2 linked regions of the Styela clava genome follow. The protein of the gene in region 2 purifies or fractionates together with the protein of the main gene of each other region. This does not show direct contact. Links are inferred from orthologs where the notes say so. Each region holds a gene or a part of one and is shown on either strand. Other genes may lie near its edges.

Region 1 (16,502 bases), on a different chromosome or scaffold from region 2:
CCGTGCAACATCATTGTGGTAACCGCGTAATAATTTCACTTTTCTATTGTTACTTTAAATATTGTCACAGCCGTAACATCAAATCTTATCCGAGGTAAAATAAATTCGCAAGGAATGGCATAAGAGAGCCGCATGATTAAACCCAATGCAAGTTTTGCGCAATGCGTATATTTATATACATAAAATTTGTATGCAAGTTTTTTAACCCGACTCAATGCTGTTTCAACAATTACAGGTCACGCGGGGCTACTGTGCCCTTTTCACTCGTTTGAATTTTCTCTTAGTCATTCTTATTATAATGTTTAATTAAATTCGGCCTAACAACACTGCTGAAGAATTTCCCCTGAACAGTATCAAATTATAAATATCGCTGGCATCAGTTTTCACCGGACATTCGAAAACAAGTGACTGAAAATCCAACTACATACATTTTTATAAAGAAACTTTTGCTACAGAAAAGTACTTATAATCGTTATCCATTCCGGCTACTTTATATTGACATAGCTCCTCTCTCATACTTTTCAAACATATTTGAAACAATGCAACATTTCCGTCTTAAAAATGTTATATTAATATTTGGCAACATTAATAAATCAGGCGAAAACAATTACGTCATTTCATCATGAAATTACGTCACAATATTGATGAACATCCACGCGTAATAGTGTACGAGTCATGGATTATGGTTCTTCTCTAAGTTTTTTTTTGCGATTCAAAAATGATTTGCATATATTAGTACAAGTAATTGACCTAATATGAATGATAATATAATAAGGAAGTAAAGCAATACCATAAGATGATAAATAAATTACTAATTCTCATAACTGCAGAATCCACACATTTTATATACGATATTTGAAATGACGAAATATTCAAGGATTACTTTTAGAGTATCAATTAAATTTAAAGTTTCGAAATATCTTACACTGTATACTTTTTACCGATTCTGAAATACAAATCTTAAATTTCTTTCCAGAAAAATGCTGGCCAGACAGGCCAAATCACGTCCTCGTACACCATCCACATTGTGGTTTAGCACTTATAACGTGTTTCCTGGATTGAATTTCCATTTTCTATATTACTCTGCGATCCAACAGAACATGAATACATCTCGAAAGGCTGTGAGTTCTAAGCGGAAGAAGGAAGTTGAAACTGAGTCTTTGCGATTTGAGATGTTCGCCACAATCCTATTCACATTCTGTTCACATGATATGTTTTGATTTTCAGTTACCGTATATTCAACATTGTTTGAAAGGGTGGCCGAAAAAGTATATTGTTGTGGTTATCGTCCTTTCTGCACTCAATATTTTATAGCAGTGAGCAATTCATAAAAAGTCCTATCTAAATGCATGTCGTATTGTAAAAATAAACTTCACTAGCACTCAATTATCTACATATCGTCGTTCAGTTTTTGTGTCTAAAATCGAGAGACTAAGTTATAACAGCCAGAAAGGTGTAATGAAGCTGTCCGTTCTTTGTGACTGCTACATCGAAACTTCTTCAAAGAAAAAGAATTTGTTTGGTGCCATATATTTCTTCTTTGATTAAGATTGGACCAGTGATCAATCGCACACCTGAGATACGCACAATATTTGAGCCACGTTTAATCGAACGAAGTTGATCGACTATATGGCAGGAAGTAGTGACAGCAACCACGCTCCTGACGCACGATTTCTGTTATTTTCGCTTTGGCTTATGGCATGTATTGAAAGGGAGATTCCATTTGATACACAATCTTTAGAACTTTCATCGCAAAGAATAAATAGTTTTCACTATCTTGCAAAGTTGTTCAAACAACACCAATTGCCAAAGAGTGTCTTTGAATGCATGAATAAAAACAAAGAACCTTTATATACTAAACAAGACTTTCCTATTCACATTGATGCCATTCAAACCGTTCTAGTTCAGTATTTCAAAAATATAGCTCTAACCAACAGTGCTGGCTATGTTATCTTGTAAGTTTATTATTTACTCTGATGAAATCTAAGCCAAATAACCGGGCCGGATAAATAAAACACGATAAATTCCAAAAAGATCACCGACATTCCTATCGCCAAATGCCATGGGTATTTAGTGTGTGGTCGATTTCAACTCGTGCAAATATAAAATCTGGCGAAACGTCGAATATAGTGGTGGAATTGCAAAATTATCCCGTCTGATAAATTCGTTAAGTTTATTTTCAGTGTATCGACATGATTAAACGTAATTAGACTAACATAATACTCTACAATGGCAATTTAAGCCTATTATAAGGATTTTACCCTCTACACACCTCGGGGCATGAATTACATAATGGAAAGTTAGAAAAGTAGCCCATTATATCACGTATGTTCTCACGGACTGTGCTAATTCATACGACGTAAGGTACGCTGGACTGATTTGTATTGTATGTTCATAGCTAGTATAGATATACTTGATACTGAATATAAAAGTATTTATTTACCCAACGATATTTCGGAGTAGATATCACAAACTATGCGGATACTAAGCACTCGATTCGCCTAAGTTTTTCGCGTACAAGTAGCGATGACGTATGTTTGTAGCATTGGATATATACATAACGGATCAAATATCTAAATGCATCGGATCAACTGAAGAACATTTTATTGCATTATGGAGGAAGACTAAGCCGTTGAAGTGTCTCTATCATTTTAGGACTGAAGATTGAGCATAAAATAGTGTCCAAAAAATTATATTCATCGGAAAATCGGTATGCAACCTATATCTATATGGCGGGGATCACATTGGCATTTGCGTCAAGTGCTGTTCCGTGTTCATGATACTTGCCTATACAATGGAAATTGAAATATCCTTTATAAAGTTTTTTATTAATTCCACGACTATTTTTTCACAATATTATAATATGGACACCTCCATGTTTTGATCATTACTGCTTGGGGTATGCTATTTTCTAGATCAAAGTGTTTATAAAACCTATTTGACCTTTCAGGAGTTACAAGAAAAATTCAGATCAGTTTACTTGAGTTCAATAAAAAACATATATATATTAATTTATGCCTTATATATGTTGTGGGGGCGATAGCTGTATAATGTTCATGTAACAAATGATGATACACCTGACAATGACAGCTCGTTATTAATAATTAATCGGAAACACGTGCCCTTTCCTGTTTTTCGTGCAGACGCGCAATGTTATTTTGGTGGAAAAACTTCAAATATTGTTAAAAATAGAATATGCTTGCTCGCAGCGATAGATTAATATTGTTATTACTTATTTATTACGAATGGGATTATAATTAAACAACAAAAATCTGATCGAAATTATTGAACAATTATTTAACAATTATAAAATTCTATCTTTTTAGGAATTCGTCTTAGGAATTGGAGCTGCAAAACATTTAAAAGTAAATAAATTATTAAAAATTACACAAAACACCAAACAATCGCCAACCACAAGTTTCGTTTGCCTTTGCCGGAAGTGTGGGAGGACGACTCAGAATTCCACTTGAGATGCTGGAAGAAACGAGATGGAAGAGCGCGTGCCCGCCGTGCTGAGATGACATGAACTTGAGAAAAATGAAACATCAGTAGCAGATGTTATTATTATTTTGACTAATTTAAAAGAAAAATAAGTTGAAATACTGATACGCACAAAAATTCGTTGTATATAACGTACACCAACTTCTTTTAAATGTATATTGACTTATGACTCGCGAAGCGACTGACGACTTGAAGATTTTTTTTAATTCAGCAATAACATATTTGTAAAAATTTTGATTTTTATGAAAATGCAACGTTTACAAAATTATCAAAATAAGTGTTGCCTGCAATTCCCTATTAAATTATTTGTGGAAAATCTAAAAGATAGGATAATTTCTTTAATTAAATATGACCTATTCGATGAAATCTCAGTAATTCAAGAAAATTATGACATGATTCAAAGTTCTAAACCGTTCGCAGAATGCAAAACAACAAGCAGCAAGTGGTACACAATCCTAAAAAGTTTCAATCATGTGTGGTAATATTTTAAAAATAGTTTCATTTGTGCTTTCAGACCCAGGAACATTAACGTATATAAAACTTGACCAACAGTTATTGAAGTCGACGAAGAGCCAGTAAATAGTTTGTCTTTGTTTTTCTTCATATTTCGAGTTGGAGAGTTAATTAATTTAAAACTTGAGAATATATGTCACAGTATTCTTTATTGAAATTTGTCAAAATTGGCAACCCTTGGGACAAGTAATACAGGTGTGGGACACGTGTGGCAAGTGGGACACAACATTTTTGAGACACCCCCTTTATTACGCATAAGGGTTTATTTCAGTATCGAAGAATGATGTCAAAAGGTAAATCAATAATTTCAGACATTTTAACAAACATTCATAATTGTACGTGTGGGCAAGTGATACAAGTTAGGAACACGATATTTTTGATATACCTAGCATCAGGGGTGTGCAACATTTTTGTCGGTGGGCCCTATAACCATCTTCAGAAATCTAGCTGGGACATATGAAAAATAATTAGTTGTTCCATGTACACAACGAATTAGAGTGATAACGGCACTGGGCAAAACGGCGGAATATATACCACAGCCGACAACAGCAAAGAACATTATTTATTTTTACCCATGTGAGCGCCTTTTAAAACAAACTGTCGGATTAGAATTTTGTGAATAATGGGAAAAAATCTGAGTGTTGACAAAGGCCACACTAAATGGCTTGACAGGCCGGGTTGTGGCAAGCGGACCACTGTTGCACACCCCTGCTTCACATTAAGGACAATCACAGAACTGTAAAACTTCGATTTGGAATCAATCGTTACCAATAGCGCAGTTTGAACACACCACGGACTACTTCCCCGCCATACAGTGCCGGGAAAGTACTTCAAATCGCATGAGGAATGAATTGGGGAGGAGTAGTGTGATGGGTCTGAACAAGAACGTTTGCGATAGGGAAACCTGAACTCTTCCTTGCGATCTTCAGGCAAACCAGTCGTGTTCTCAAAGTCGAATGTGGCGCAAAGTATCATCACAAGATATACAGCCGAGACAATCGATCAGTCATTCTCACCCACAAACTCAAAATCATTTAGTAGATTGCACGGAAACGCTCGTACACCTAACTCACTTTCATGCGTGGAGATGTTCTAGTTAGTATATTAGATAAGTTTACAAAACGAATGTCGTCTTTTGTGCCCATTTCGATCTACACTGCAAGTTCTGATGATCCAGAAAATACCCGAACAGCCTTATTCCCTTCATACGGTCCTTTGATTCGTACGGCAAAATCATACACTCAAGCCCACAAATTAACGAAGGGGCCAACTTTAAAAAGTAAATCATGCAAAATATCGAACACTTGGTTGGAAGATATGTAATATGTATATGATTGAACATCTGATCATTGTTAAATAGAATCAAATATTTCTCGGAATCTTCACGCCAGCTTTTATCAGTTTAGCTAAAAATCTGAAACGGCACGAAAATAGGAATCCCAGGAAAATAGACATTCTGATAAAATCATACCATTTCTAATTATTAGTTAAACAGATTCTCACTGGAAAACATGCTTATGTTGTTACTTGGAATAATTTCTAAGGAAAAATATTTATCATAAAGCGGGGTATTTCGAATTAAAGAATTTGTTTTAAAATCAGGTTTTGTTTAAAAAATTAATTAAATTAACCAGAGGGTTCATTCACTTTTATTGGTTCATAATTCTTTAGAATAACGTCTAGTAATTCTTTGCCTCTGAGGCCTAATTGATAGCAAGTATCCTCTACTTTTTGTAATGACGACTTCATAACATCGATCTTGCTTTGCAGCAATCTTTTTCTTCCTGGTGATACGTCAATAATAGATGAAAAAGACAGAAACATTTCATATAAAATACGTATAAAAGCACATAACTTGAACACCTTTTTTTTCGAAGTTTCAGTGATCGCCTTTGCAGCAGAGTTAATGCATAAGCGCATGACTTCACCAGTAGTATCAGCGATGCCGTATAAATATTCCAACACTGGTATTGGAATGACTAAAGGTTCTTTATTTTCATCATCTGCAAAAACCAAAGATTTTTGTATCTCACTGAGATCAAGTAAACAGTTGGAAATGCTTTGTATACTGTAGTTTTCTTCAGTTTTGAAATAGTACAAAAAAGACATTGCTTCAATAAATTCCTGCAGGCCTGGGGAGAATGCTCTAATGTACGCATGCGAATCCTCATCCTGCAGTTCAGTAGCAATTTGTTTCCACTTCTTCATAATAATATCACATTTTTCATCAGCCTCAGTAATTATTTTGAACTTTGAGTTTGTTTCTGGAGATGTAATATCAATTCGGTGTAACAGAAAAATCAATTTTTTGCTGTCAATCGTTATGTCACGGCTTAGTTTCACAATTTTTTCCCATTTGTTGTGTTTTGTTTCCAATTCTTGTTGAAATAATTGAAACTGATCGATAACATCCATCAGAGATAATAAATGTTACCACTAATTATAGGTTACAGAAACAAAACGAAAATAAGTAAACACTACATTTATCTTGCCTTCATTGCATTTGAAAGCTGTTTATTTAACTCAAATAGCTACCTATGTATGTCAAGTTGGAAAAAGAATGTTTTTGAACAATGTAGACAGAACACACTCTCAGCATAATCACCCAAAAAGAAACACTTGGAGCAACTTCAACTTTCAAGGGCTGCATGAAATCATATTGAAAATTAACAGCAATATCCCAAGTAGATGAATTGACAGTCTAAAACTGATAATTTAATTACTGCTTCAATTCAGATATTTTGTTTGAGGCATATTTTCTTCATGAATTATAACTTTATTAAAGCTCAATGGACCTTAGTATGTAATATAAGCATCTAGATAACAAATATTCGTTTGCTGCTACTTTTGATAGAAGACCTAATTTTTAAAAGGATGAATACACATACCATTCATTCTATAAAATCAGAAAATTTGTGAATTCTGTAACGAAATACTTTATTACTCTCAAATTTTTTCACAAAAATCCAATGTTGAACTCAAATATTAACATGGACAATAGTATGTCATAGAAGCATTTAGAATAAGAATTGCATTCTGCCAGTATAGGTTTGTAAAATACCTAAAGCTTACAAGGATGAATAATCACAACATTCAACAATTAAGTGAAGATGTTCTTTGCCAAAGTAAGTGTCTTCAATATCTCTTTATAACAGGTAGTGTTTAAATCTGTGGAGAAGTGGATAGTGCGAAATCACTTGATTGATAATAAAGAACTTCAGTCAGCCATTCTAATTTAAATTACAAGAACATACTGTGAATGTGGTATCATATTATAATGAAATAGTGGAGAGATATCTCACAATAATATTCGCCAGCCAGTATTTATTCTGAAATTTGGCAGAATGAAAAATTTTTTTATGTCCGTCATTAATATTCTCGAAACAGTTTTGTGTCAATAATTGCGTAGTCAGAATTCATTCATTGTCTTTTTTCTTGTCTTTATCAGAATCTTGTCTGTTTTGAGCAAGTTGATCCATGGCTTGTTGTATTGCTTCACTCGATGTGTCCACACCGGGAAGATTTTGTAGAACACTCTGCAGGAACGCTGGATCAGCAATTACATCTTCTTCATTCGAATCTCCATCATCACCATATTCAGCCACCATCGGGGACTCAGAAATTGTTTTCTCATCCGTGTCCATGGCAGATTGTGAGCTTTCTTCTTGCATTGACATGCGCATTGCATATGCTATTTGTTCTTCTTCCGACATAGAGCTTATATCAACAGGGCGACTACCAGGAGGTGCAGTGGCTGGTACCTCTTGATTCATTGACATTGCGAGAGCCGCACGTAACATGTCATCCTCACCAGTGCCTGTTGCCATTGCAGTTGCTGGAGCTGACTGAGTTTCTTGGATTTCTGATCCTGCTCGAGCTTCTTCTTCTTGACGATGACGCTGTTCTTCTAATGACACACGAAGAGCAAGAGCAAGCTCTGGATCCGATGCTGGGTCAAATCCAAGATCAAATTCACCACCGCCAGAGCTGGGAGCTCCACCTTCTCCAGCAATAATTGGGGAGTTCATTAAAGCATTAGAAAGCATGGATCCTGGAGGTATATTGACAATATTAGATCCTGTTCCATCTTTTCCATTCAGTATTTCGATAAACGAAGTCAGTTTTGGTGTGTTCAACTCTTCTTCGCCAAAGTTTACTATTTCCACATTTACTTTTTCTTTTTTAAGTTTTTTCGCAACTTTATTTATTTCTTTTTCATCGTCTTCAATTGGGCTTCCGACAAAGGCAATAATACGCATTCTATGGTTTTTACTTTGACGATGTTTCAATGCAAGATGTGCAACACGGATGCCATTTAAGAATCTAATATTCCCTTTAGGTTGCACTAAAAGTAATTTTGATAGCAACTTTCCTGAGTCATTTGTCAATGTAACATGAACTTGAACATCAGCAAGAGAGAGTAGCGCAACATTGTTTTCAGGGTTAGAACGTAATTTTGTACGGCATACCAAGTTCGCGGCATCTTGTTGGGCTTGGATTCTTGTTGGCAAATAATCCCCGTTTCTCATGTATTCACTGTTGTCGATACATATTACTGTGCTTTCGAGAACCATCTTGATATCTAGTCTACTTCAGCGCGATTTAACTTTCAGATACTGGACAAAAAAGATCGCAACTAGTTGATCCGCCGACTGTTAACTTACACCTATTACTGTATTACAGGATCACAATGGTTCAGTTGTAACACAGCATTATTTTTATTTCATGACACAGCGAATTTATTTTTCGGATCAGTGACCCCGACCTTTGGCCTCAAACTTATGTTCGGATTAGGGTTGGATTATCCGGATAGCGGTTAACCGGTTAACCAAGAGTTATTTTGCTATCTGATATCCGGATATTATTGTGACGGTTAACCGGATAATAGAGCAGTATAAATAATACATATGCGCGATTAGCGGTTTTTATATTTTTTGTTGAGTGGCGACTGACATCTCCCAGAGCATATAATAACAACTTTTTCCACTCTAATCTGCCTATATATATTTTAGCCATCCGTAGAATGCTGGAGTGAACTTCACTATTACATCACAAAACACGCAGAACAAATGTGATTATTGCGCTTATTAGGAGAGCTTATTCGCTTTATAAAGTTAGATTTGAACTGGAGGTACAGTTTAAGAAAGACTAACTTAAACGAATTCATTTGAAAAGTATTGGTTGGGTGGGTGTGAGTTTGTTGCTTTTATGTCGGGTGTGGCTTTTAGTAATTGTTGCGTGTATTGAAGGAACGCATTTTATCATGAAGTAAACCAGTTTGAATTTCGAGGACTTATTTCACAATACTTCCGATTCCATGTAATCTGTGTAGCATTTCAAAATTTTGGGTACACAACCAAATGTTATGTGCTTCCTTTTAACTTTGGTATATATGTTTTTTCAAATTTCCCTGTATCAATCGAATCAAAAGATATACCAGCTGAAAATAAATCTATTCTATCTAAGTCAGGTGTATGTTAAACTAATTGAACTTAAAAGCTTGAAGAAATGGTCATCGTGAGTCTGCGACACCAAAATTTAGTAGGAGTCAAAATTTAAAGAAAATATGCTATATGTCTAGACAGAAAAAAACTTCCAAAAAATTTAACAATAAAAAAAGGAATAATATAAATTTTTACATAGGATTTGAATATGAGAAAATAACTTAGCAGTCGAGAGGAAGACAATTAGGACACAGAATTTAAAACAATGTTTCACTATATTATTCAGCTGCACTTCTGTACGATTACAGAGCTTAAATTTTTATTTATTGACACATGCAACATCAAAATGCACAATCATTTTTATTCGAGAAAAATAATACATATGTACGTATTTACAATAGAACTGTGTGGTGGTTTTCAGTCAATTCGCCACAAAAATCTTGTAAAATCGGTTCTCTGAAATTAGCAGTAACTAACTATCCGGTTAACCGGATAGGTAAAATACCCGGATATATCCGTTATCCGGATAGTATAAATTATAGGTATCCGAACTAACCCTAGTTCGGATATTATTTTGAATTCCTTTTATTAATCTAATATCAGAAGCATGAAACTTGATAAAATCAAATAATCGCTCAAAATTATACATATGACACTTCTACTTTGTTCCGATTTGGCGTCACATTGGGTCCCGGGTATGAAGTTGCTCGTAGAGTTGAGACCCGCGATGAGCAAATATATGCTCATTGGGACCCAAGAAAACCCGATCCCGAAATCCCGGGATTTGAACTGTTTTTTTTTTTCAGTCCCGATCCCGCAAATATTTCCTAAAAATCCCGGGATTTTAGGGCTTTGTTACCCACGTATAGATATTCTCACAAATAGCAGATTATAGCCTACCAATGACATATAGAGGACTTGCACGGGTCACGTGACTTCGTTACTGGACGGCAATAAAAACAAAAACGTCCATTTGGCTTCTGTCAGTTGCAAGTCGGATTATACTTTTCCGTTTTGTTTGGCTGTTGAAAATGGTTATTTCGTATTGTTCTGTTGGCTGTACGTATAGTATAGACAACGAAATGGATCTTCAGTTATATTCCACCTGTTTTCAAAAGATCCGGAACGTCGTGCAATGTGGATATCATCTATTGGCAGGACTGCTTGGTGTTGGTGTCAAGTCCAGAAGTCATCTCGCTTGTATTTCACTGTTTGCGGACAGCACTTCGTTGATGGTGAGTGATAATGTGCCGTTATCAATTTTTTTAAATATCCATAAGCTCTCTCATTTCAATGGAAAGCAGATGACAGACTACTGTTATTGGTAGGCCTAGACCTACTTGCAGACTTGACTTGTGTAAGGAATTTAATCATCAATTGCCATAATGTATTGTTTCCCTAGTTACTAGTTAGCAGGTAATCTATTACTGAGAGTGAACGGTTGAGGTTGAATAGATAACTAAAGTTTAACACCAGTGGTCATGCAAAAAATAACCAGAATTCAATTGAATTCGCCATCTAGGAATACGCTCGCCACCGCATCTCTGATCACCCTGGTAGTTTCACAGGTTCCAATCCCATGAGGGGATAGTTATGTGCGAGAGAATTGCAGCTCTCCTCCTTGCAGTTCACACGACCGCTGATCGGTTACGACCATCCCCCACCATCCAAGTCCATGCTTCTGAGAACAAATAACTGACTAACTAATCCCAACATAGACTGGTAATCGTACGAGAGACTGTGATTCGTCATATGATTTAGTTGTTGCACCTGCAATCCTAAAGGTGCTTGTACAACTGTCCCAAAATGTCTTTTTATTGTCATTGGTAAAAAAAGATATGCTAGCCGGAATCAAATTCATTTACGACTAGTGTTTGTGGTGGGATATGGACATAAATTTCACACCACTTGATTGTTAAATTTTACGAAAACTCTACAAATATTACAAAGCTAGTGCAGGATCATGATATCAAATGAATCTGTATCCTTTATCTTACAGATATGGGTGTGACCATGGAATAGATGGATGGCAAAGTATAAGTTGCCACAGTGGCAAGACCACAGTGGCACAAGACCTCAGCATCCATTTATTGGTGCTTAACGTAATGACAAAGTAACTTGTGATTACTGTGGATTGGTGGAAATAAAGTGTCTATTGTGCTTGAACGAAAGCAACTTCAATACGACCCTATCAAGAAAATTTTTTTGTTTCGGTGGGGTTGGTAGTGAAGGTTTCAGTCTAAAGTTGGACACCGATACTACAACCAAATACAGTTGCCAATGAAACTTAGCGGGGCGTAATATTGCGACTTTGTGATCTGAAAGAAAATTCTGATGGGTAGCCGGCTAGCCATTAGCTGATTAAGGTTGAGTTATGTATGATCAGGGCAAAAATTTGGAAAACGTAAATCGAATCGAGAGAGTAAGCCAAATGAGAAAAGTTTAAATAAAAAGTATGAATGGAATCAAGAGAGTCGGGGAAGAAATGATTAATCTAGAATTAAGTTAGCTCAGGGGAAATTTAGAAAACGTAAATCGAATCGAGAGAGCAAGTCAAAAGAGAATGGTTTAAAAAGAAATGTGAAGGGAATCGAGAGAGAAATGTTTAAATGGGAACAAATATCCATCGTGTCGAGTAAAAGTCAGAAAAAACGCGTTTACGATAAATCAGTATGTCAGTCTCGCAGCGTCATGCTCGGGTGATCGCAATCACAATATGAAATTGTTGACTGGCAGGACGCTGCAGAAACTTAGCAACTGAAGGGGAATTCCCAGCAACCATAACAGGGGAAGCCGGGTTGGATTAAGTATCGGTACTGATACGGCAATATATAAATAAATAAATATATAAGTACAATTCAGACAGGAAAAACAGTTTTGATGGGAAAAGTTCATTCCACATGTACTTTGGGCAATGATGCAAACTCAGTGATAATGGTCGTGCTCTGTGAGGACAATAAAGAAAAATGGTGACAATGCCAATGGCATTAAGAGGTGAAAAAAGTCACGATCGTTTAGGTAAAATAGAGATCCTGGACCGAATGACCAGTTATAGAAAAATCGAGCCACACAAAAGGTGGGGGACATGGGTTGTATACGGTACACTACTATACTTATAAGGGATCTATACCACTTATTGAAGCAGACTAAAAGGATACATAGGAATCCAGGTAAAAAATTTTCAAAGCTTGTTTGAATGAATTGTAATTCATAATTCGAATGTTATCGGATAAAGCATTCCATAATTTAACGCCTGTATATTTTATCGAATTTTGAGTACGTTTGGTTGAAAAATGAGTTACATAATAGGAACTACTGGCAGAGGATCGTGTTCTATAAGAATGCACGCTGCTTTGTTTCAAGAAATAATCAGTGAATGTAACAGGGAGTTTTTTGTTGTGATGTTGGTGCATCAATTTCAATATCTCTAATTTATAAATATCCACCATTTTAATAATACGAAGTTTATAATAGATTGGATCAAGTTGGGCATAAGGTCCACTGCCAGACACAGCACGAATGGCCCTATTCTGCATTATTTCAATTTTGCGTAAAAGAGTTTTATCAGCGGAGCCCCATGCAGAAATACCGTATTGAATATGGGCTTGGAATAACGAGTGGTAAACCATACGTAAAGTCGAAATTGGTATAAAATGCCTGAGTTTGTACAGTATTCCCACCGACTTAGATAACTTAGCAGCCAAGTTAGTTATATGAATATCCCATTTCATTTGACTGTCTAAATATATGCCCAGATATTTATAAGAATTGACTTTTTCTAATGTAATGTTGTCAATACAGATTAATAAGTTATGATTGGCTTCATGTTTATTTGGTGAAATAAGCATAGACTTAGATTTATCGATATTTAATGTCAATTTGTTAGCCTTCATCCAATTAACCACTTTTACAATTTCAGAGTTCACTCGTGACTGTATAGCTGGTAGAGATTTGTCACTATCTAGAAGTATAGTGTCGTCAGCGAATAGTTTTGCGAAGAAAGAAGAACAGTGGGTGAGGTCATTTATATAGACGAGGAATAATAATGGACCCAACGTCGAACCCTGTGGGACCCCGTGAGTCACTGGTAAGACTGGGGAGCAGTGGGTTCCTACTTGAACGAATTGAGTTCTGCCACTCAAGTAACTGTAGAGAAGTTTATTTGGTATACCTCTGATACCATAATGCCATAACTTTTGGGTTAGAATATTGTGATTAACGGTATCAAATGCCTTTTTGAGATCTAAAAATATAGCACTAACAAATTCTTTTTTTTCTAATTTGTCATAAATGTAAGAGATGGTGTCTAAAATTGCATGAGACGTAGAGTGATTACTCTGGAAACCAAATTGATGTTTATTTATCACGTCATATTTTGTAAAGAAATTACTGAGCCTATTATGAATTAGACGTTCAAATATTTTATTAATTGACGAAAGAATTGAAATTGGCCTGTAATTTGACACAAGTTTTTTATTGCCAGATTTAAAGAGAGGAATTACACGAGCAACTTTGAGGGATGAGGGGAAAATTCCGAGCGAGAGCGAGCAGTTGAACAATTTAACTAGAAGCGGCGCAAGCGGGTCAGCAACGAATTTCAGGAAGCGGGGAGGAATGTTATCCGGCCCAACTGCCTTTCTCTCCTTCAAGTTTAGAATTTCCACTATCATTTCGGATTCTGTGACCAAAGTCATAAAAGCTGATTTACTAACACGGTTACGAAGAAATGGCTTAAATTCACACATGTCATTAGAAAACTTGGCTGCCAAGCTAGATCCAGCAGTTGAGAAGTACTTATTAAATTCGGTTGCGATTAAGCAACCGTCTTTAACTGTACTGCCATTTTCAAGACATACTTCAGCTATCGAATGCTTGGAATTATTTTTTGTGGTTGTGATTTGATTAATGATTTGCCACGTAGACCTGGGGTTACCCTTGGTCTGGGAAATAAGATTTTGGTAGTGAATTTGCTTCGCTTTGTCTAATACGGAAGTAAGTGTGTTGCGATACTTTTTGAAGTATGAGCGTTGCAAGGGGGTTCCACGTAAAAAATGGGTTTTAAACAACTTATTTCTGTGTTTCATACAAGTGATTAACCCTTTGGTTAGCCATGGCTTTAGCCTCAGCCTTTTTTGACGACGCGATAGAGGTCGAAGTGGGGCATGCCGGTCGATGGTACTAACGAATGACTGTATGAATTCGTCAAATGTGTTGTCAAAGTTCTCAGCAGTTATATTAATTGAGGAAAATCGATTATTCATAATGTTATGTACCTCAGATCGAAAGGCATCAATTGAGAACAGTGACATATCTCTTGACAATACACACTCATTCGTTTTTGTGGGTCTAATGCCTCTTAAACAACAAAGTATGGGGAAATGGTCAGTTATATCGGAATGCACGACAAAGGAGTCAATTTCTAGATGTGTCAAATTGGTGTACATGTGGTCAATTACATGTGGTCATGTACATGTGGTCTTAACCTTCGCTGTTTGATTAAGAAACTTTAGGATAATATACTGTAGACTTGTAGAGTATGGATTCTTCCAAGCGTCCAATTCCTGATTCGCCAAGTACATCACAGGAGGAAGATAGCGCACTAATGGCGGTTATAACAAGCACTATTCTTCGCCAAGTACTGATACAATTGCCATCAATGATTGATGAATGTTTGACCACCAAAACAACACCATCCAGTCCATCGGATCTTTCAAGAGTTGCCGAGTCTAGTTTTCAACACATTCTGAGTTCACTAGACTCCTCATTGAAAGATATGAGAAGCGAACTCAGTGTGATTGCTAAAGCTCAGAGTGACCTCAGGGACAGCCAAAAATTCTTATCAGATAAATTCGACTCGATTAATAAATCTCTTAAATCCACACAAGATATGGTGAAAAAACAGCAGAAAAAGATTAAAGATCTAGAAGAACTTGTGGAAGACCTTGAGGATGATTGCGACCACCTGGAAGACCGTGTTGAAGACCAAGAGAGAAGATCACGATTGGAATGTCTCGAGTTCCACGGTATAGCTTATAATAATAACGAAAACACCGACCTGCTTGTATGTAAACTGTCAAAGATCATTGGAGTGAACATTACCACCGCAGATATCTACAACTCACATAGACTAGCACATGATAACTCAGATAAACCTTCTGCCATAATTGCTCGCTTCACCTCTAGGAGAGTCCGTACCAACATAATTACAAATAGAAAAAAACTGAGAACAGCAAAAGACCCTAATAAATTCTTCAACTTCTCCAAAATTTTCATTGCGGAGAACTTAACGAAAACAGCTAGATCGCTTTATTTTCAATCAAGGGAACTAAAAAGACAATGTGGATACAAATACCTTTGGACTAACAATGGGAGAATTTTTGTCAAGAAAAACGATGACACAAAAACAAGACAAATCAGAAATGAGAATGACCTAGCATTCATCAAATAGGTCAGTTGCAATAATATTTTATTACTCGCATCTTCTTATACTGATTCTCTATAAATTCATGATGTTATTCTCTTAACGTAAATGTCCAACAATTTTAACATTGTCTGCAACAATATTGAAGTTTCGAAATTGAATTCTATTCGTATGTCTTCTGATCTTATTATTTTTCATACTAATATTCGCTCTCTCCATAAAAACCTTGACCAACTAACTTTCTTATTATCCTGTTTCTCATTACCGCCACACATAATAGCTATAAGTGAAACCAAACTAGTTGATAATTATTCTTCAAATATTAACATAGATGGGTATACTTTCATCCATGCACCATCTCTTACTAAAGCAGGAGGCGTAGGTGCGTATATTAGAAATGATGTTACCTATACTGTAACCATAGAAAATAGCATTCGGTACTCTAATTGTGAAAATTTATGGTTTGAAATTTCTTTAGAAAATTTTATAGATAACCTGGTAATCGGTATTATTTACAAATACCCACGCAATGACATCTACGACTTTACGAACTTACTCGAACAATCCCTGTCTAAATTGGCTAATAAAAAATTCCTCATTGTTGGTGATTTTAATATTAATTT
Region 2 (17,291 bases):
CGATGATGATCCCCATTTTTTGCTTGTTCAAAATAGGATTCTTTTTCAAATCTGTCCATCAAAAGTTCAAATTGATCAGCGGAAACGATTTGCAATGACTCTTTTTTTCGGTTTTCATTCAAAAGTTCGAGCCAAACAGAGTCTTCTTCATCCATATCATATTCAACCTAGAATGAACAAAAATTGAAAGAAATTAGAGAATAGTCCAAATTAAAATGCGTCAGGGAGATTATTAAAGTAAACCATACTATCATAATATAGATGGGCTTCAAACAATATTATCATGACTGAATTCAACCATATTACGACACGGGAGCAAGGAATAAATATTCGTGTTATAATGAAATACGGGTCAACCAAACAAACTGCACCACATCCAGTGATTCTCAAAAATAGTTAAATTTCGAATGGTCACAAATACTTTATACCAGTGGTGTGTAACACTTTTCGTCAGTGGGCCATATAACTAACTTCAGAGATCTAGTCGGGTCACACTGTTACAGACAAAAAATTTAGCGGGGAAAGGCAAGAGAAGAGGAGCGCCTAATGCTTACATATTTTATCTGTGAGCACATTTTGAAACATTAATTGTCGGAATAGATTTTATGCTGGTTGGGGAAAATCATGAGTGTTGACAAGGGCTGGGTTGTGGGCAGTGGGCCGCCTATTGCACACTCGTGCTCAAATCTATCCTTTCTTTTCTTCAATAATAAAGGTGATATTACAATAAACATGAATTACCTCCTCTGCCAATTCTTCAACTGGTCTTTCAATATATCGATAATAAGCCATACGACGTTCTGGAGCATCAGCTGCTTCAGTTCCATACGCAGAGACGACGCGAAACGATGGTACAGGAAGCTTTGGTTCAACTGGCTTTGATTCTGCTGAATTTCCATCTCGTTGAATAGGAAGAGTCACACTTTTCAAGTCTTTGCTGTTGACCGCGGGTTTCCCTCCCGTTTTGCTTTTTCCATTCTTCCCTGCCGGTCCACTGTTTCCTCCATCCTCTTTAGTTATGTTTTTCTTTGAGTCTTCTTGATTTTGAGTATCTGAACTTCCGTCTGATGAATTTCCGCTGTTACTGTCATCATCTTTATCAACATCAGAATCCGAGATGACGTCTAGTTTTTCATTTATGTCCAATCTAGCGAAAAGCAATAGAAAAAATATACATGATATAAAATCTTTTCTAGACATCTTAGTTTTTAATCAAGACTCAAGGTAGGTAAATCATCAGTCTAATACATAAAAATGTTTTCAATTTGTGGAATCTTACTCCATTGAAGTTGAAACAAAATATATAGATTACATTTTTCATTTTGTTTTAAAGTGAATTCAGCACAGCAAAAGCTTAAGTTATATACCTATAAATTTTTCCTTCTGATTCAACTTCAACCATTCTTTGAGCTTCGGCCCAAGTCAGAGTCTCTCGGGCTGGTGATGCAAAACCAATAGGAGATGGAGAGCGTCTAGGTGTATTAGCACTCATTCGTCCTCCTTTCTTTTTCATGGCAAACTTTGAGCGAGGTCCTTTTCGATTTGAATTTGACGGTGTGGGTTTCTGGCTTGGGGTCATTGGAGCTGCATCATGATCAAATTTAAGCATATGATATTCCATTCCAGAGTAACTTTTATAAATCTTCTGACATTTCGGACACTCCCATGGTGGCTTGGTAGCACGTAATGATCGAAGAAATGTGTCAATGTCAATGCTTGAATCCATTACTCCCATTAAATTGATTTCAAGCAAAAAAAGCAGTTTTCAATAAATGACTTCTAATAACAATTTGTTTTAAAATATGTTCATTTTTTCTTTGCCTTTGAATGTTGATGTTATATGTAATTTATTTTTAACTTACATTAAATCAATATAAAACTTCAGAATAATAAAGCAATGTTTTAATCCAAATTAAATAAACACAAAATCCTGAAAAAAAATTAAGTTACTATATTTTTTAAACACAACATCCAGATTTTTCTACTCTACTACTATTACTTCTTTACTGAGCTAGACCATGGTAATTCTACTGTTCTATGCTAGTACCTAAGACAACTGACTATTTTTTATACCTACCTGACTAGATACAGTACAACAATACGACTGTATGATTAGCAAATATTGACACCTATCTGCCTATTACAAATCCTAGGCTATTTAAGTGCTGTATTCAGGTATTTCGAACACAGGAATCCACAACTGATTGTTGCGGTATAGGTATCCTATTATCAGATTTTACACATCCACTAACTGACTAACCAATCTGACAATGTTTTACTAACGTCAGACCTGCAGAACGTTAAAATCACAAGTTCGAATCGCAGAATCGGGCATTACAAGTACCTCATTGCCAGTATAGATCAAACTAAAACTTTTAACATATTTAAGCTATGTTTGAATATATATGTATATATACAATAATACCGACATCACGTTTGAATTTAAATCCAATGCGCCAAAATCCCGCCGAACACGGAAGCCTGAGGTAAGGCCGGCCTATAAATCTGGAAGCGGGCGAAAAATTTTCGGCGAGCCTCGCTATCGCTCCTAGTGTTGTAACTATTCTCTGTACTCATATTTCAAAAAAGGTCACACTGTGGTTAGGACCCCAAAAAAAAAAATTAATACCGATATAAGAAGATTTTATCCCATTTTTCTAATTTCGACCTAAGAAATAATTTCAATGAAATCCATGATTTTTGAGAAGAAAATTTCGGTCTGCTGTGATGATTTGCTGCGTCTAAATAAATTTCTTTCAAATGTAAAATTATTAAAATACGATATTGTGGTTGTTCACGATACAAACAGTCGCGTCTAGAGGATATCCGATAAATTAGTAAAGTGTTAATCATTATATAAAACTTACTTCTAAAATCTTTTATGTTAATTTTGTCAATTTGACTCCCTTACTTTTCATTTTTTTATTTGTTTCGCAAAAATTGTTTCACTAGGAATGACATTATTATTTATTTCCAATAACCAGGTTGTTCTTCTGAGAATATGTTCACTATCACAACTACTGCATAGTCAAAATTTGTACTCCTTAGACTTTAGAGTTTACACCAACCTGTACTAGCGATGTAGGTGTCGCTGCTTGAAGACATCTCGAGGACCCTCTCGACTCCGGTCACACAAATAAGAGTATCAGTATATTTATTTGATGCATGAATTTCTGCGCAGTTATTTACCGGTAGTCGTTGGTGATGACAAATAAACGATTGGCTGACTGGCTTTTCAGTATATTATCGTCGCGGTATGGGATCGATGGACAATTCTCCATCACACTTCATCGTATCTTGCGTCAAGATCTGCTGTGCCTATCACGATAAATTGTACCCCAACATTTATCTCGTATATTTTCGCGATTGATTTTAAAAAAGTATATTATTGTTGCTAAAACGATACCAGCTTTCAAACAATTATTTGTCTACCCCAGACAAAGGTATAAGTTCAGATATACTAGAACAAAATAGTTTTAAGGGATAAGCAAACTATGAAAAAGACCAGATAAATTTCAAGGTGTCGACATCACCGATAATATGTAACAATAATTAACGCATGTTCTTGAGTTTCAGCTTGAAACACAAATAAAAAATATTTAGACGCATAAATGGAGTGTCACTTGACTCATTACTGAAGGCATATCAAAATAGCTTACTTTAATTAATTGCATCGTAAATTGCCTTGTAAATCTGCACGTATGCAAATATGGACTCGACACTTCTTTTACATATTAATATAGGTGTCTGCAGACGTTTCGTTTTGCACGGGCGCTGGGAATAGCGGTGTTTTAAACTCATACCAAGTTGTCTACCGTAATGGTATATTCGATAAATGTTTACCACTTTTATTAAACCAATACCCATAGTGGCGTACGCAGAATTTTGTGACAATTTTATGTCAAATTTTATTTTCACACAACGAGGAAATTCACTGTGATATTTGATTGATATTTTTCTTCTTTATTGTCAAATATTTAAATAACACAATTTTAGTAGCGAAAATAGATAAATTAATTGGGAAGGTAGTTTGGATGAGGAATAGCTCAAAACGAGTAAGAATTGAGGGCGTTCTTAATAAATTCCGTGTACATATGTGTACAGTGTGTGAAAACTTCAGTATACATAAGGTCACATTTCTTAATATATATATTTCATAAAATTCTGTTGTTAGTGATTATATTTATATTTAGTATATAATAATTGGAATCTAAAAACAAGTTCAAATGATGATAAAACATCATAGTATCAGATATTGTGACGTTATAATACCCGTTTCCAGTGCAGCAGGTTGGCCGCGAACATGGTCCTTCCACAAAAAAAAAATTGTTTCAGATATCAACATTCGGATGCCAACTCATTTTAAAAACATTCTGGATCTCATTGAACAGCAGAATCGGAAGCATATTATTAGCCGATACCGAACATATACCAATACCGAAATAAATGCCGATATCAGTACATTTCTATATTTATCCCGGGGAGATGAAAGCCGATTAGACGGCTCAAACATCTTGCGGAACACGGTCACTTGTCCGGTTACCGGTCCATGTAGGGTATGAGATTAGTTAATAACAAGTTATTTGTTTCAGATACATGGACTTGATGGTTGAGAAAGTCGTAACTGACCAGCGGTTATTTGAACCAGCCTGCGGCGGCGCCTCGCCTCGCATATACCGTGTTCCCCCGAAAATAAGACAGTGTCTTATTTTAACTTTCTTCCGAAAAATAACACTTGGGCTTATTTTGGGGAATGTCTTTTATTATCATTTATCAAAAACAAAATTACAAAGTGGAGAATTACGAGATTTTTCGAATATACAAAATATGACAACAACCGATATCCATTTACTTATTAATAACACGTTTTTATTAAAATTTTCATTTATTTATTTATTGAAACGTATAGGAGAGATTCCTTGCCATCGACTATGCCAGGAAAACAAATTCGCACTATCGACTAGGTCTTATCTTTAAAACTCGGGCTAGGTCTTATTTTCGAGGAAACACGGTAATTCTCATCCCGCGCGGGATTCGAACCAGCTAACCCACGCAGGTGCGGTAGCGAGCGTATTCCTAACGCTCAGCGCGAAACACCGCCGAGCAATTAAAACAGAACATTTACTTTACCTAACAAAAGGCAAAGAAGAAGCTGAATGGCGACGTTGGCTGAGATGACGTATTATGAAAAAAAATGAGAGGGTAGAAAATGGCGAATGTAGTGCAATTTTTGTAATTCGGATCCACCTTAGACGAATACTGTAAAGGTAATTAGACGGTATATTATACTGATGCTTCTTCTTTGCCATTTCGCTTTTTATGCCAATTAATCCAAGACCGTGATTCAATTTTGTATGCGGGTTTTTTTTAAATAAATTTTAAATGGAAACGTACATAAGCATTCTTTTTGTTTTCACAATTACAAGACCAGTCTGTCGATGTATTACACTGATATTTCGAAGTAAAATACGTGGTTAGTGCGTCTTAGTATAATTCTTGTTCAAGCACTTTTCCATTTCAGATGTCTTCAGTTATATTTTTTTATCATATAGAATAAAAATGTGTGCTACTTCTATTTTCTTCAAAAATGCCTTCTGTCAATCTAATATAGACACCATCAAACTCCCGATTATGCATAGGTGTGAACAAAATTTCAGAGCCAAAATTTGTTCCCAAAACTTCAATTGTACTGATTAAATTTGTTGTTAATCAAGTTTCTCGACAATCACTAAGCTTATATTTAATTTTTTCTATTTTTATTACGCCCGTGATGTTTGCTGGCATACCTTCCACAGAGATAAACGTAGTTATACCTCATCAGAGCATGAATGTCACATCGCATTGTTATGCATTGTCTCTGGTTAGAGACGCCTGCTAGCTAGTGCACTGTCCATGCTCATTTTGTCATTTTAGTTCAGTGCTCACGACCTCGATTTGATATACTTACATATTATAATAATAAAAAACAAGAGAGCTATGCTCAAATATATGGAAACGCCACAAGTTGTCGCTATTTTTTATTGCAACACATATTGCACACAAGAAAAGAAAGCTCTTGAGGTTCACAGAAATTTTTAAAATAAGTGAAAGTGATAGTCTTCTGGCAAAGCAATCTTTAACCACTGAAAATTTCAAAGCAATTTGTCCTGTATTCGAAGAGCAATTTTATTATGACAACGGAGAAGAAAAACAAAAACAATAACATAATGTTGAAACGATCATTATGTCCACCAAGTGTCCAATAAGGAAGCAATACTCAAATACATGAACACGAAAGCCGAAACAAAATATTTTACTCACAATTTCCCCAAAAATCATATCTTGGACGAAGCTGAAACTGTGGACCATCGTAAATCACCAGTATCGTTACCCGGACTGCCCTAGCTTCAACAGATCCTGTAACAATGATGATTTATGCGTCTTGTGCAACGTGAAAAAAATGGAAATTGGAATATACGATGCTAATTGTAAAATAATTTCAATCAAAAACAATTTCGAAGAGTTATTAAAACTTCAAGTCGGTGCTAATTGAAATCCACTGATTTTGGCTGTAATTTATTGCCGCGCCGCCCAGGCCTGCTGTCTTCGAATATGATAAAAAATAAAATAATCGTTTTTATCAAAACGTGGACATTAACGCTAGGACGTGTGCGCGATATTCGGTATTCTTATAAACACAAAAAACGAAGGTCGCGATATTTGCTTATGAATTCGAATTGGATATCCAGGAGTCATAGGCCCCTGCCACTTCGGCACCTGCAAGTCAGTCATTCCCCATAAAAGTAAAATTCAGCATCACTTATATCGAGTATAAAACAAAACAAAAAAACAGTCGCTTCCCGGGAAATCATAGTGACACTACCTGCCAAATCTCATAAAAAATCTTCAGCTTATTTTTAGAAACAGCTTTTACATCCATCTGTAGTGCTTTCAATCACATTACTCGGTCTTCGGTGACCTCATCCACGTTACTCCTATCGGGATATTTCGTCAATTCGTCCTCCTAAGGTTCAACTTTTTAGTGACTTCGACACCCTCCTTATTCGTCGGAAAAAATTTCATCCACTTCTTCCTTTTAGTGTTCAGCTATTTAGTGACTTCAACAACCTCATTAAATGTAGGGAGAAATTTCATCCACTTCTTTCTTTTAATGTTCAGCTTTTAGTGACTTCAGACACTCAATAAATGTCAAAAAAATTTTATCCACTTCTTCCTTTTAGTGTTCAGATTTTAAGTAACTTCAACCAGCTCATTAAATGTCGGAAGAAATTTCATCCACTTCTTCCTTTTAGTGTTCAGCTTTTTAGTGTTTTCAACAACCTCATTATTCGTCGGAAGAAATTTCATCCAATTCTTCCTTTTAGTGTACGGCTTTTTAGTGACTTCAGCCACCTCACCACCCGTCGGAAGAAATTTCATCCAATTCTTCCTATTACTGTTTAGCTTTTTAGTGACTTCAGCCACCTCACCACCCGTCGGAAGAAATTTCATCCGCTTCTTTCTTATAGTCTTCAGCTTTTTAGTGACTTCAACCACCTCACCACCCGTCGGAAGAAATTTCATTCACTTCTTCCTTTTAGTGTTCAGCTTTTTAGTGTTTTCAACCACCTCATTATCTTTCGGAAGAAATTTTGTCCACTTCTTCCATTGAGTGTCCAGCTTTTTAGTGTTTTCAACAACCTCACCACCGGTCGCAAGAAATTGTATCCATTTTTTTCCTTTTAGTGTTCAACTTTGTAGTGACTTCAACCACCTCACTATTCGTCGGAAGAAATTTCACCAACTTCTTTTATTTAATGTTCAGATTTTTAGTGTTTTCAACCACCTCATTATTCGTCGGAAAAAATTCAATCCACTTCTTCCTTTTAGTGTTCAGTTTTTTAGTGTTTTCAACTACCCTACCACCCGTCGGAAGAAATTTCATCCACTTCTTCCTTTTAGTGTTCAGCTTTATACTGATTTCAACCACCCCACCACCCTTCGAAAGAAATATCATTCACTTCTTCCTATTACTGTTTAGCTTTTTAGTGACTTCAACCACCTCACCACCTGTCGGAAGAAATTTCCTCCACTTTTTGGACACGTAGTGGACATAGCGATCGTTTCAATATTATGTTGTTGTTCTTGTTCTTTGACACGTTTTTAAAAAGTCGCTTTTCTCTTTGATTACTGGACCAATTGCTTTGAAATTTTCAGTGGTGAAAGATAAAAATTTTCTTCAGAAGCCTTTACTCTTTTTTTGCTATGACGTCGTCAAAATTATTGCCATTAGGTAGCGCTACGTGTCCATAATATATTTGATCATAACTCTCTTGTTCTTTTTAGTGTTCAGCCTCTTAGCATTTTTAAATATTTCTCATCTGGGAACACTTCAACCTCCGGAATTCATTCACTTCATCCGTTTCTTCTTTTATTTAGCCTTTTAGTGTTGTCCCGATTTTTTTCATAACAACAAGAACATGACAAAGAATTCTAACAACAACATAATATTTAAACGATCCATTTCGTGTCCAATAAATCTATAACTTCACGTGTACTTAAATATAGATTTCGCTTACTGCACGTAAAATATTGGCAATAGTGGAATGTTCGAGAAGCCGTTAGATGTCAGCTACAAAGCACAATGAAAATTTGCCAGAGTTTTTTAAATAAATCCCACACGCAAAATTCATGTTCCTTTTCATTTATGTATCAACAACATAATGCAGTTTCATAATAAGTTATTTGAGTGCTAAACAAAAACGTCATGACTTTTGTTAACAGTACTGCATTAATAATTTCAATTATTTTTGAAGAACAGTATGTAACAGTCTAACTTCAGATAAATACAACCAATAAAAACAAAAAATACATTTTTATGGTCAATAAAACTGAAGTAAATTATTTAAGTTTACGATATAAAAATATTTTAACGTAATTTATGAAAAAGCTCAATAATAATGATAATAGTCTAAGTCAATGCCATTATACAAACATTTCAATCTTCAATATAAACTGGAATTCCAATACTAAAATTTCTATATCCATACATTGTATCGTATGATGATATTAGGATGTACACCTACTATTTTGCGTATAGGATCTAACTGATATTACAGTGCTGAAGTTTCGCACGCTTCTGAAATCTGGAAGCTTGTTAACTTTTTGTGGTATCATCCTACTCATTTCTAGTTTAGTCTTTATAATTGGACACGTTACAAGGAAGCAACGCGCAATTTTGGGAAATATAAAATAATTTCATCGCTATGGCGGATTCGGAAAACTCAGAACTAATTAAAATTTCGATTAAGACGCCAAAAGAAAAAAAAGATGTTGAGATTAGCGGAAAAGGAACTGTGAAAGAATTACGTGAAAAGGTTGCGGAAAAATTTGCGTCATCGCCAGAAAAAGTCGTTCTAATATTTGCGGGAAAAATTTTAAAGGACAATGAAAGCGTTGAAACGCACAAGCTCAAAGATGGACAGACAATTCATCTTGTAATCAAGAGTCTTCCACAAGCTCAATCTAGTACATCAGGTCAGAGCGCGACATCTTCTCAATCATCTGCATCAACAGCAACCGCAACTGAAAGTCGTCCGAATCAACCTCCCCGAATGCCAGGATTTAATTCAACAAATTTGATGGACATGCAACAGCAAATGCAACAAGAAATGATGCGTAATCCTGATCTAATGCAGCAAATAATGGGAAATCCAATGGTTGAAAACATGCTGTCAAATCCTGAAGTAATGGGACAATTGATGAGGGCCAACCCTCAAATGCAGGCTTTGATAGAACAAAACCCCGAAGTCGGCCATTTACTGAACAATCCAGAGTTGATGCGCCAAGCATTGGAATATACAAGAAACCCAGCAATGTTACAAGAAGTGATGAGGAATCAAGATCGAGCCTTGAGCAACCTAGAAAGTATTCCTGGAGGTTACAATGCATTGCGTAGAATGTACACAGATGTTCAGGAACCAATGTTGAATGCTGCCCAAGAGCAATTTGGCGGAAATCCTTTTGCTAGTCTCATTCAGAACAGCAATAATTCAAGTGGTGATAACAATGCACAAAGAGGTGTTGAAAACACAGAACCACTGCCAAATCCATGGGGAGGTTCTGGCACTAGATCAACCGCAGCGACTACGACCACTCCAACAACAGGTAGTTCTACCAACACGTCATCTTCTGCTGCCCCTGGTGTCGGTGGAATACAAAACATGATGCAGGATATGATGCAAAACCCTAGCGCAATGCAAAATCTTATGTCAAGTCCATACATGCAAAGTGCGATGAATATGATGGCACAAAATCCGCAGATGACTGCTGCAGCAATGCAAAACAATCCCATGATTGCCAATAATCCCCAACTCCAGTCAATGATTCCAACAATGATTCAACAAATGCAGAATCCGGAGTTTCAAGCAGCAATGCAAAATCCTAGAGTATTGCAAGCAATGACTCAAATTCAACAAGGCATGGATGTATTATCACGTGAGGCACCACAACTGTTGTCAGGAATGACATCCATGCCAATGATGCCTCGAGCACAAACGACTTCGACACCATCTTCCACGACATCGACAACCCCATCACAGCAGTCAACTAATCCTCTTGCGAGTGATCCCGAGGCTTTGTCACGGATAATGATGTCACTGGCAGCCACGAACCCATCTGCGAACACTCAACCCCCTGAAGAAAGATTTCGAACCGAACTTGAGCAATTGACAGCTATGGGATTTATGAATAGAGAAGCCAATATTCAGGCTTTAATAGCAACAGGCGGAAATGTTAATGCAGCAATTGAAAGGCTACTATCTCGTTAATATTGTATTTAAAAATTGATTGGATTGATATTTTGTTGTATTAACATAATCCCTGCAACCACATGATATATATCTTATTCTGCAATCAGAAATAATTTACTATATCATTTGTTTTGTAAATAATTACTGTAGCTTAATTGTATTATGTCAGGGTTGGAATTGGAATATTTCTGATCAATTTAGTGATATGACTCAAACAGACTAATTTTATTGAGATTTGATTTCTACTTTGGAGTTGATATTGGCTCCAACTAGGGTTGGTCAAATATTTCTAAGGCGGATTGAATTCTGAACAAGAAATCTAATACACCATATTTTTATTATCAATCTATGACATGACATACATGACAATTTTAATGAAATTACTTGTATCATAAATAACCAAATTAACAGTATTCTTGTATCTTCGTAAATGTCTGCAGGTCTAAATTGAATTTTATAATGAAACGCCAGTTACACTTTAAAAAACTAGATGTAGGTGATACAAATATTTAATTTGATTATTGAAGTCATATTATAATCTGATTTTCTCAACCCCTGGTTCCAACCCTGACATTTTAAAGCATCTTTCGTTTTTATCACAGGATAATTTATTTCCATCCCGTGTACAGGTACTTGCTGGAGAAATTCAGCTTAAGTGGTTATTTATGAAAAAGCCAATAATCATATCTTGATAATCACTTTTGTTGCATTGCAGGCTATATAACTCAATGTGTAAATGTATACCTTGTTATATGAGAGGTATTAGTTGTTTCTCTTGTTGAATTTTGATTTTATTTGTCAATTTTTTTGCATTGTATATATTAGACAAGGAATGAGCAAGGTTGGACATGGTACTTCTTAATAGGAGATTTTCTAAAGTATAATCTTATGAAGGCTTCATTCTCTCTTGTGTTTAGGATGAGACAATGAAAAAATCCTAGTCGAATTCAACATTCTTTGTGTTTGTTTGCTACAAAAACCAACTAATTTTTTGATAATTGCTTAAATTAATCCTTCTAAATAATTTTCACATACTCTTTGATTAGCTGTGTGGAAACTGATTGGTCTTCAGTTTTATTAAAAAACTAACATTTTTTTCAGTCTGACATAATAGGTAATTTTTTTTTGTCTGGCGTGTGCTGAGTAATATAGCACAGTTCGTCCAATATCCATTTTCTAGAAAATAGAATATTAAGATGGCATATAACATTCATTCTCTTACTAGATTTGGAAACACATTGGTTAATCAATATCACTGAATTTATTGCTCTAATTTAAGTCAGCTTAACATATAGTTATATGCTTTTAGTGTATTCGATCAGTTTGACTGCCGTAATTGTAAATAATATCCAGCAGTATTCACCCCATTGTTCCATGTTATAATTCGTTCAAATCCTCATGTCTATTATTCAGTGACTGCTTTACAATTGGAGTCATCAAAATGTGAATATGTAATTGGGTAATATAATAACTTGTGATTCACAAACAGTCAATTCCTCATTACAAATGAATGTCAATGCATAGGTTCTGTTTTGCTAATCGCTAATATATTATAATAACAGCTAATAAATCATCAATGTTTCTTATGTATTTTCTTCAGAGACTGGTGCTTATAGGCATAGCGATCACATTTTCCATGCCTCATTTCTTTGGTTTCAGTGTAATATGTAATATTTCTAATCATCTTTTGATATACCGTAATTTCCAAAGAGCCAATTTTGAATTGTTGAAGATCTTGCTTCGAAAATGCAGAATTGTTGCTTAATTTACGAGTTTTATTCATTTGATGTTAGATGTGTTTGAGTACAAGATATTAATGCATACAGAAAAATGTGACCCCTCGTCTTTAATTACTGGTTTGGCAAAAAAAAATTTTGGTGTGGGCAAAATGCTATTTATATTGGACCCCATGCATATTGAAATATATATTTTAATATTTGTGTTTGAATATTGAGTCATTGGTAAATATAACGGACATTAAAATTGGCTTTCAAATTTCACAATTGCTAATACTGTATTTCATAACTAACTGTATGTTGTATGTAAATGATATATGTTGTATAATATTTGCTTTGTGATTTAATTATTCATTATGCTCTGCCATACTTTCATCTTATATAAGTTTATTTGAAATGTGGTTTTTGTGTTACTACATATAAATGAACATGGGAATGATGTCATTCGTGAAAAATTTGTCAATTATTTTTCCAATATTAATGAGAATGTTATCTATGTTCAAACAAAAGTTTTTTCCCGTAACAGTCTGCTTTCAGTAAATATAGGGAAAAAAACAAGCAGGCAATATGGATGTGGCCCTTCTATGGCTTATATACTCTTATATAAATATAATTTGTGACTGAGTAAATTTGTTATCAATCTTGTGTAATATTATGTCTTTTCAGTGCACTTGCCATCGACCCATGGCATCTTTACTGAGACATGGGTTGCCTCAAATGGTGAGGCGATGCAAACCAAACCTAATAACTTTAGCTGGTAAAAACTCTCCAGTCATCTATTTGGGGATACGGAGAGTGGCATCTTCAAGCAAAAAGGGAGCGTCAGCACCAGTGACTGTTTCAGAAAAAACACCATATGAGATTGAACTAGAAAGGCTGAAAAAGAAAGATGTATGATTACTGTATTTTCTGACAATTTTTGCCTTTGCCTGCCATGTAATTGAGTCAGCTTAAGCAAATTAATGAAAAATGTTGAATGTTTGTGATAGTGTTTTAAAAGTATCGCAATAGACATTGTTTTATTAATTTCATTGATTCAGATTGGCATATCTACATTTTGATGTAATAACTCATGCAACTTAATGATGGTGTCACAATTTCATTTTTGTATTCTAGCCTGAAGAAAAGTTTTATGGATTTTATAAAGATCAACCATATGTTGACAAAATGCAATACCATTCTTTTTGGTTGATTCTATGGTCTTTGACACTCATGTTCCTCTTTCCTGTGTTATCCTATACACCGATGTGGAGGTAAGACTTCGTAATTGTGTGATACTCTTTACTACGGTAATTATTTCATTCATTCTTCATGCTCGAGTGAAAAGGCGAAATGAACAGTTTTTCAATCACTATGAAATGATGAGAAATGCTACCATATTCTCACACTTACTCACTGGACATTTGAGCCAGTAGTTATGAGTTAAGGCTGGTTTACTTTCCTGCTTTAATTTTCATTTAGTAGTATTGGTTAGGCAAGTGCATCAACTTTCATCTCTGACCCAATTTAAAAGAAAGCAGTGAATCATTATTCCGTAAATTGGCTTGTAGTAGACCTTAAAATCGGTGGTATTCGAACTTTCTTTTTCGAATTTGTCAAGTCTCGTGCCCCGCCTCAAAAATAACTATCTAACAACAAGATACAACTAACAGATAGTAAGGTAAAAATATGTTTATAAAAAAAAACGTTGAAAATACGTGGATGGAACGTAAATAATGAAATAAATGAAAAGTTTTAAAAACAAATAAGGTGGGCAAGATCAAATCTAACAAATAGTTTTATTCCGTCCCCTCAAAATATTGTCTATGCTTCTGTGCACGCAATATCGTTTGAGAACCACTGCTTTAAATTTTTAATTTTAATTGCTTGCCAGGCCAAAGACTGTGCTTTAATAAAGACTAAGACTTGTTTGAATTTAACATACCTGAATAAGCAAACCAAATTATTCTGGCATGAATAGTGTCGTTAAACTTGATTTTTTATTACTCACAGGGGCAATGATAGGAAATGGAAGGCTCGGGAAGCACATGCATGGATAGAAAAACGAAGAGCTAATGACGAACCTTTGATAAGTAAAGACTATGCTCCAGCTGAAATAATAGAAGGCATGGTGCCTCCTCCTGGCGATTGGGAAAGAGATTGGCTTATGGCACAGCAATCAGTAAGGCCAAGTGCCACAGGAGTCTACAACCACAATTATACATTTTAAATTGTTGCCAGGCTGAATAAATTAGTTATTAGTTTTGATATGTACGTTTTGATATATCACACAATACTATTCATCATTTTCTGGGCATCCAATATCTAATCAGACTTGTGATGTTTGACTTGCTTTAACTTGTTTTCTTTTCTGATAAGTTCTCCTCAAAATATATTTGTGAATAATATGATTATGATATCTCATAAGGCGAGTTTTTGATAAGCAGTATAACATTACACTCCAATATGTAGAAATGCCAATGCTTGTGTTAGGGCAAGTTTTCCAGTGGTTGTTGGTGAAATTGGTCTACCTGTCCTGCATGATGTTCATGCGGCATCTCGCCCTGCTTTAGCGACTTCTGTCAAATGTGAATCGACGCCAAAGCTTGTGTTAGAGAAGCTTATTCCAGTGGTCATTGGAAACGTGCTTTGATATGACTGGTGAATTATATACCCATTGATTCCGTAAAATCGTATAAAATTCTTTGTTCAATTGCAATAAGGAGGAGTAGTGTAAATAAACTCTTGCTGGAAATTATGAATATTTGAACGGCGGCAAAAGATGGGCATTGGGTTTGCACGTTTAGCAGAGAACAAGAAGCTCATTTTTGCTGCGCCAAGCATCACTAGTACTAGTTAAGGACATTTGTACTTTCCAAAGATATCCAAATGAAAAATATTAGACCCGTTTTTAGGAGGCATCGTGCCGAACAAAATCTGACTTTCAATTTGAATTCAATGAAGAAAACATGCCAGTGATGAGAGGATATAATTCTTACTTTTGTAAATGAGTAACTTCCTCCGTAGATGTTAATATAAATATGAAGAAAGGGAAAGTCTTCTTGCTCGGATGAAAGATTAAGCGCGGGATATATCACGTTTCGATGAGACGGTCATGTAACAAATTCAAAATGCGTCAGCGGTTCCATGTGTTGCTACAGTGATCCCCCCCTAAAATTTACCATAATTTTCAGGTGTGACACCATACTTTAATTTATAACGTAAATAAAAATGTGTTTGTATAATTAAAAAAATGGCTCATAGGCCGGTGAAGATGAACATTTTAAAAGTTACATTACTATAACAAAATATCTACCACCCTCCCTAAAATAAAAATCAAGGGAACATACTGCGGCTTGCTACCACCTCGTTGAGTGAACTCTCGCTTTTAGTATAAAGATTGGCGCTGTGATTTGTAATTAAAGATACTGAACGGGTATTTAGTCATGCATTATGGCAAGACAGACACGTGGGCTTTCGTGGAAGGTCAACGGGACGGCCCATTACCATGGCAACAATACGCACTGGTCATCTTATATGTAATCGACTACACACATTCATCTTATACAGTAGTTCTCGCGTGATTACCTGCCGATCAACAATGGTTAGCAAATTGAAACTCCGGGGTTTATTATTTTAATGGTGCGTATAACTGGCTTAGTTTTGTGCACCCGGACTGTGATATTGAGCGTTTGGTGCTCAAATGCTTCGACCCGTTACGAGGACGTATTCTATAACAAATGATATAATTCTGGGATTTGGTAGCAAATTGATAATATTCACGGGGCCTATATTCAGTTCTTTGCAATGATTAAGTAAAATTGATCTTGGGAAGTTATAACGGGGACAATTTAATATTAAATGTTCGACGGTTTCGTTTTCCGTGCAGGTGTCGCAAAATCCATTTTCGTGTAGTCCAATTTTATGAAGATGAAAGTTCAGACGACAGTGGCCTGTTTGTAGTCTGAACAATAGTATTTTATATCTTCTAGATCTCAGGGGTGCGATGTTGAATGTACAACGAAGGTGATCCTTGGTCAAGATATTAACGATAATGCCACACGCTTTTGTTAAACATTTATTTTCAGCTAGGAAGTAAGAAGGCAGACGGAATGATTAGAAATCAAGAAAAAGAATTATCAACATATCCCCGTCTTGGCAATTATTCACTTAGCAACGGTCTTGATGCATATTGCTTTTTATCACTGGAATCGGCATTAATAATAGCCATGAATGGTTTATATTTTTCCTGATTGCTAAGTTTGTAAAGAAAATGAGATTGCAACTTGATTGATTAGGCAATTACTCCATAGTTATTTATTGAAAAACCTTTTAATTTTAGAACAGTCCTTTAATTTCCATTGTTTCTGGGTCCAATGAAATATCATAAAAGCATGGTCTAGTTGGAAGCCCTGGCATCGTTGACATAGTCCCGATGAGTGGGTAAAGAAATCCAGCTCCGACGCTTGCGCGAATGTCTCGCACTGGTAATGTAAAACCTGTTGGTGAACCTTTCAACTCTGGCTTATGAGAAAGAGATAGATGAGTCTTTGCCATGCATATTGGTAAATTTGCGAAACCCTGTTTGGTATATTGCTCTACCTTTTGCTCTGCTTCTGGTGACAGTTCAACCCCATCAGCTCCATAAATTTTCCTCGCAATAATTTCAATCTTTTCCACAATAGGCAAATTAACATCATATAAAAATTTGAAATCTGTTGGTGCATCTGCTGCAGCCACTACAGCACGAGCCAGGTCAGTGGCACCTTTACCCCCAAGCGCCCAA

The links.
Region 1: the proteins of ubiquilin-1-like (region 2) and 26S proteasome non-ATPase regulatory subunit 4-like purify together in Drosophila melanogaster (affinity purification with western blotting; 3 studies listed by BioGRID, with this or other methods). This does not show direct contact. The link is inferred for Styela clava from reciprocal best matches to the Drosophila melanogaster genes Ubqn and Rpn10.

What each region holds. Positions count from the first base shown.
Region 1 is NC_135250.1:20,474,473-20,490,974, forward strand, and holds 26S proteasome non-ATPase regulatory subunit 4-like, read right to left. Parts: upstream 8,737-16,502; 5' UTR 8,589-8,736; coding exon 7,431-8,588; 3' UTR 6,451-7,430; downstream 1-6,450. Other genes in the region: translin-associated protein X-like, read right to left, coding at 5,641-6,429. UniProt on the Drosophila melanogaster protein: Binds and presumably selects ubiquitin-conjugates for destruction.
Region 2 is NC_135258.1:15,527,739-15,545,029, forward strand, and holds ubiquilin-1-like, read left to right. Parts: upstream 1-9,099; 5' UTR 9,100-9,245; coding exon 9,246-10,808; 3' UTR 10,809-13,180; downstream 13,181-17,291. Other genes in the region: peregrin-like, read right to left, coding at 1-167, 742-1,147, 1,368-1,735; uncharacterized protein LOC120339369, read left to right, coding at 13,181-13,417, 13,643-13,779, 14,519-14,735; C-1-tetrahydrofolate synthase, cytoplasmic-like, read right to left, coding at 16,844-17,291.